Cricetulus griseus: one gene and its partner. The protein of the gene in region 1 interacts with the protein of each later gene in a pairwise test. Links are inferred from orthologs where the notes say so. Each region holds a gene or a part of one and is shown in the gene's direction. Other genes may lie near its edges.

Region 1 (3,831 bases):
GCTAATGGAAAGCAGATCTCATACTCCCTGAGATCAAATCAGGGAGCTTGGATGTCAAGTATGTGAAATGTGCTTTTAATTTTTCTTACTTGACCATTGTAGGCACTTAGGCCCTTTATTCCCAGCCTGTTTGTCCCCACTGTGCTGCTGTGAGGTGGCCTGATAATGAAGTCCACTCTCCTTTTAGATGTAGAAGATCTTTATGAGCCAGTGGCGACTCCTTTCTCATACCCCAATGGACTCAGTGAAAATACAACCGTTGTTGAGAAACTGAAGCACATGGAGGCGCGGGCGCTGTCTGCTGAGGCTGCATTGGCTCGAGCACGTGAGGATCTGCAGAAAATGAAGTAACTACCTGTCCAACCAGACACTGCTTTAGGTGTAGTGTAGTTAATGGCAAGAACACTTGGGATGCTAGACACTCAGTGTATATATTTACTTTAGGAGTACTAAAGACATGCAGCATTGCAGCATTTCATAGTGTGTGAATATATATTTCTCTAGAATTGCATTTTTATGTATATATTTACTTTAGGAGTATTAAAGACACGCAGCATTTCATAGTGTGTGAATATAGAGTACTCTAGATCGCATTTTTATGCACCTGTGAGTACTTCATAATTTGCATGTGTGGCTCTTCTAATTTCCTCTTGAATATTTGTTTTTAATATTTCCTGTCTTTCAAGTTTCTTGTTTCTAGTTGGTTTCTCCTCTTTAATTGTCCTATCCTAGATTTTCAGAAATGGAAGAATTATTATTTTTTAGGTGTTGGGAAAATACAGTGTTGAAATGTTGTTTTTAAAAAATTAAAATGTGACAGTAGTGTGGAATTTGACCAAAGAATCATATAGATGGGGGCAGTTTTTACCCCACTGAGTTCTCATTCTCCAGGAGTCTTGCATCTCCTGGGGGACCTTGTTAGTCTAGAGGTGGGCACATGTGTGTCTATAGTATGTCCACTTCCCAGCTTCTGTCTTCTGGATCTGTATGCTGGTTGCTAGTACCTCAGTTCCTATTTGATGGCTAGCCAGAATGTCTTGTGCTAGGGAGATCAGAGTCCATCCAGGTTCCTAGTCCTTTTATGCTTGGGAACTTAGTCACCTATCACCAGCTAAACTTTTTACCCTTTTGTCCTCACTCTTGTGTACATTGGAGATCACTAATATGTCACCACCTGAGTGTGAGAACTGGAGTTGGTAGGGTCAGCTAACTTGGGTCTGCTTTCTGCTCATTTAACCCGTTTTAAGAACACTCAGAACAGTAGGAAAAATACATTTGAATAAAGCAGTGCATTGACGGGTTACCCAGATACTGCTTCAGATCCAGCAGAGGGCGCCGTCGGGGCTTCATCTAGAAAAGGATTTAAGATGCTGGGCACACTGTCCCCCTCCTCCTCCCTTTTCTCATCCTCCAGCCTTGCCTTTTCTCATGGTCCAATAAACCTGTCTCAAGGGTGTATTTCAAATTGATTACAGACAATTTGCTCAGGACTTTGTGATGAACGTAGATGTCAGAACCTGCTCCTCCACAACTGCCATTGCAGACCTGCAAGAGGATGAAGATGGTGTCTACTTCAGCTCCTACGGGCATTATGGGATACATGAAGAAATGCTAAAGGTTGGACAGAGTTCATGTGCATCAAATCTGCCAAGGGAGAACCTACAGAATAGGCCTTAATGCTCTTCGTGTGTGTGTGTGTGTGTGTGTGTGTGTGTGTGTGTGTTCATGTGCATCAAATCTGCCAAGGAGAACCTACAGAATAGGCCTTAATGCTCTTTGTGTGTGTGTGTGTGTGTGTGTTATACCCCTGGGGCTTAGATGAGTGCTCCTCAGATGAAAAGATTACAAAGGTGTCAACTCCCTTCCTATTTAAGTCAGTATTCATCTTTTCTTTATGAAGCCACTTTTTCCTTGAAATTGAACATTGGGAAAAACAACTGCTTGTGGTTCTGGTCTTCTCAGGTACATCTACAGTGTTAAGTAAGAAGTAAATGGCATGGTTGTTTTTTAACATGGAAAAATAGCAATGCTGACTTGGTCTGGGCAAGTAACCATCTTATAAAGTTTAATTTAAAATAGTTTTCACAGTATTCATGGTGACTGACTTATAACTCACAGAATCACTGATAATAAAGAAATGTTTCCTGATGTGGTCAGACCTGGTATTTGAATCTCTTCAGTTTTGATAGTCATAGTAGTAATGTCCATATAAGATAGAAGTAGTTTCTAACTTTACTTACTGACAGTACATTTTTATCAAATATTAAAGATAACATAAAATAGAACAAATTTTGGATTGTAAAATTTTTAGGTGTTTATCTCTAGGAATTTCAGATGTTACCTTCTCTTTTCCTAAAATTAATCAATTAAAAATCCTTTCTAAAGCCTCATTCCAAAGATTATTCTATTTAAAGGAAGCCCAAGACCTTTAAAGCAGTGTCATGCCATTAATACCATATATCATTTGCTGTCATCTGGGTAATGATGGCATAGCACCACAGACAGTATATAATTACAGACAGTATCATATAAATGAGACTAATTGTGTAAAAGAAATTTGCATGCTCTTGTTTTTATCTAAGTTGTTCGTTTATAAATAAAGTCAGATATTGGGGTAAAAACCTGATAAATCACAGAGTGCAGGAAGAGCAACCTGGAGAGCCAGCAAGTGCATCTTTCTCCACATATCCCAGACTAAAAAAGACTGTAAATCTTTAAGTCTCTCCCTACTCCTTCCTGTGTGTCTTCTCTATCAGTTTCCTTGGGTCCTCTGTATTCTTTATGGCTAATCAACTAGTTGCTGGCTCTGTCCCCAATCCAAGGTTAATTGTATTAACACAGTCTCAGAGTTTCACAGTGTGATCAAATATCCTGAAACAGCATGCTTCATATTTGGGTTATAACTTTTTCTGTAAAGATGATAAAATAGCCATCTAAGCCCAGTTAGCTATTTTAGATCTCTTGTTAACTTAGTGCTTCATGCCCTTTGTATATTTGGTGTGGAACTTGTGTAGCCTTTTCCAGACAGGCCATGGTCACTGAAAGTTCTGTGGATGGAAGTGTTCCTAATTGTACTGATCAGAGAAGGCTGCTTTGCATAGAACAAAGCTCTGCCTAGGACTCTTGTGCCTGTGTGTCAGTGACTAGAGACTGTGACATGTGACCAATGCGAAACTCCTGGATGTACACGAAGACTCCAGCTGATAGGCTGTTTATCTTTAGAGGATCACTTAGGCACTGTCTCTGACTCAGTTTCCCTTTCTGTGGTACAGGATTGCTCTTGTTGATGTTAATGGGTTTGATATTGGTTACGATAAGAAGTAGCTATGCCTTGGAGCAGGCATTTCAGTTTTTAACCAGATCAGGTCTCAGCACAAAGAAACTGTTCAGTGGTATCTTGCTACTATGGAAAACCTACCCAATTCTGACAAGTAATTTCAGATTGGAAAGCACTTAGTATAAGGTATTTTATAGACTAATTGGTGAGTTTTCTTGTTTGGTCACAGACATTTTATCGTAATTGCAATCTCATTTCTAGGGCTTGGATGAATGTAATTGTTTAAGTTTTAAAGACACAGGTGAGGGGGTGTGGGTTAAATGAACTTTAGATAGCTCTTGCTACTCTGGGCCTTTGAAGAAGGGTTGTTGGCTGTAATGCAGATCTGAGCTGCTCCCCAGTCTGCCTGTGTTTGCTATGGCAGTCACTGTCTGGGTGCACAGGCATGCTGGTCACTGTGCTGTTTAATAGCATGAAGTGCGGGTGCTTATTATGTTGTCTCCTTATACCTGCAGTTGTCCCGGGCTTTGTGTTCTCCTTCATATGCCAGTGCA
Region 2 (2,755 bases), on another chromosome or scaffold:
GCAAAGTACAATGAAACTACTGGGTTTGGAGGCAGCAGCCTGGGCTTAAAGTTCAGTGCAGTTATCACTGTGAACATGGTCACACAACTTACCCATGAGGAGCACCTCTTTACTTCCCTTACAAGGGACACATGGGACCTCTGTCATGTCTGCAACTCTCTCACAGTTCTATCCTTGTGCTAACTGCTGGAGTTCTCATCTCCTACTTTACAGGTAAGACATGTCCAGCCATGGTTCACTCTCAACAGGATGCTTGATTCTAAATCTGTCTCGCCAGGTGACTTATTTTGCATGCCTTACCTGGCCTATACAAGAGTGAAGAGTAACAGAGCTCACACCTTTGATCCCAGCACCTGGGATCACACACCTTTAATCCCAGTGCTAGGGAGTTATATAAGACAGGAACAGGGTCTCAGAGCAGGCGTTCATTCTCCAGCCACATGGAGGATAGGAAGACACTGAAGTCTCAGGATTCTCCAGCCACACTGAGGAGAGGTTACAGTCTGAGGTTTGGTGGAGCCAGGATCCCCTTTCATTCTGAGGTAGAGTGAGAGCTAGTGGCCAGCTGCTTTGCTTTTCTGATCTTCATCTTGAAGTTTGAATTCCAATATCTGTCTCTGGGTCTTTTATTTATCGAGTTACACACAATGTTACTTCTGGCCTTCACACACATGTGCATAGGTGTGCATGCACACACATGTGTGTATACACACAAAGACACATGAATATGTATCCACAAGTACAAACCTCTTAGGAAGGAATAGGAAATCAGAGACAACATTCTGGGATTGGTTTTGTGGCACAAAATGACTGCAGTTTAATCAACTGGTTCACAGAGAACAGGCCTGTTCTACACTAAAGGTAAGCAGATAAATGTATATTTTTATGTGTTTTTTAAAAAGTGTGCTTTTTTTCAACTAACTAATCAGCCTCTAACCCCAGCTATCACTGATTGACAACAGGGTTTTCCTGATCTTATACGATAGCTTCATAAAGTAAATGACAAAATAGATAACACTTCATAAGCGGCAGTGTACAATACAAACTAAGCTATCTTATTAAAAATTAATAAACATTTGTCACAAGTGCTTATGCCTTTGGCATTTGTTTGTTTGTTCTGAGAAGGCTATGACAGGAATTAGCTCTATAGTTCAAGATAGCATCAAACTTAATATGTAGCCCAGGCTGGCCTTGAACTCACAGAAATGTCTCAGGGGCCACGGTCATGGTCGTGGTCGAGGACATGACTGAGGACGTGACAGCAGCCTCGGGGCTCATGGAGGTAAAGCCGAAGACAAGGAGTGGATCCCTGTCACCAAGCTGGGCCATCTGGTTAAGGACATGAAGATCAAGTCCCTGGAGGAGATCTACCTGTTCTCCCTGCCCATTAAGGAATCCGAGATTATTGATTTCTTCCTGGGTGCATCCCTAAAGGATGAGGTTCTAAAGATCATGCCAGTGCAGAAGCAGATTCAAGCTGGCCATCGGACCAGGTTCAAGGCTTTTGTCGCTATTGGGGACTACAACGGTCATGTTGATCTTGGTGTTAAGTGCTCCAAGGAGGTAGCCACTGCCATCAGAGGGGCCATCATCCTGGCCAAACTTTCCATTGTCCCTGTGCAGAGAGGCTACTGGGGGAACAAGATTGGCAAGCCCCACACTGTTCCATGTAAAGTGACAGGCCGCTGTGGCTCTGTGTTGGTGCGTCTCATCCCTGCCCCCAGAGGCACTGGCATAGTCTCTGCTCCTGTGCCCAAGAAGCTACTGATGATGGCTGGTATTGATGACTGCTACACATCAGCCAGGGGCTGCACTGCCACCCTGGGCAACTTTGCCAAGGCCACCTTTGATGCCATCTCCAAGACCTACAGCTACCTGACCCCCGACCTCTGGAAAGAGACTGTATTCACCAAGTCTCCTTATCAGGAATTCACTGACCATCTTGTGAAAGCCCACACCAGAGTCTCTGTTCAGAGGACCCAGGCTGCAGCTGTGGCCACCACATAAGGGTTTTTATACAAGGAAAATAAAGTGAATTAAGTCTGAAAACAAAACAAAACAAGAAAACACAGACATGGAGAGAAAAGCAGGTAGCTGAGAAACTCACTGTTGCCTGTGTGTCCTTGGAGGAATCTGTGCTTACAGTATTGGAAACCAGAAAAGTGCAACTGTAACATGAATACGTTGGACAAAGTAACAGTTCATAACCCCAGGCCAGGTGAAGCAGGATGGCACAAGATTTCAACACACTACTTAAAAGAGCATACCATGTAAAACATATGCATTGCTCCTTTGGGGGATTTTCCATTTAATAGTATTAAGCCAGAGTTGATGTAAGATAACTGAAGTCATGGAAAGTGACATGACAGATGAAGGGAACAACTGTACTCAACAGCCAGATGCATGACCTTCACAGTCTGGCAGACAGCCACCACTGCTACCGAGCAAAAATCACTTCTGATCATCTTGAAGCAACAAGAATGTTTGGTGCAGTCTGCTGTCAGTGTGCAGGCTCACACAATCTTCTCACCTGGTCTTCCTGGAAACCTGGGTCCTGACCACACGAGAGTGCACAGTGCAATGCAGCCATCTTCTCACAGTCCAGGTGGGCGGCGTTCCATAGGAACCACAGCAGGTACGACTGGTCAAGGGTTGCTCTATAGACCTTTCCAGAAGAGCAGTCCAGTATGAGGGACCCCGGCAGGGACTGTAAGGGACTGGGAGGTAGCACAGCAGCCATTTTGTTGTTTCCTAG

The links.
Region 2: the proteins of Prmt3 (region 1) and 40S ribosomal protein S2-like interact in binary tests that used the Homo sapiens proteins (3 or more experiments, as listed by UniProt). The link is inferred for Cricetulus griseus from reciprocal best matches to the Homo sapiens genes PRMT3 and RPS2.

The regions. Positions count from the first base shown.
Region 1 is NC_048596.1:146,822,082-146,825,912, forward strand, and holds part of Prmt3 (protein arginine N-methyltransferase 3), read left to right. Parts: intron 1-187; coding exon 188-347; intron 348-1,475; coding exon 1,476-1,617; intron 1,618-3,831. UniProt on the Homo sapiens protein: Protein-arginine N-methyltransferase that catalyzes both the monomethylation and asymmetric dimethylation of the guanidino nitrogens of arginine residues in target proteins, and therefore falls into the group of type I methyltransferases.
Region 2 is NW_023276806.1:173,250,664-173,253,418, forward strand, and holds 40S ribosomal protein S2-like, read left to right. Parts: upstream 1-1,250; 5' UTR 1,251-1,341; coding exon 1,342-2,007; 3' UTR 2,008-2,018; downstream 2,019-2,755. Other genes in the region: Gsap (gamma-secretase-activating protein), read right to left, coding at 2,531-2,751.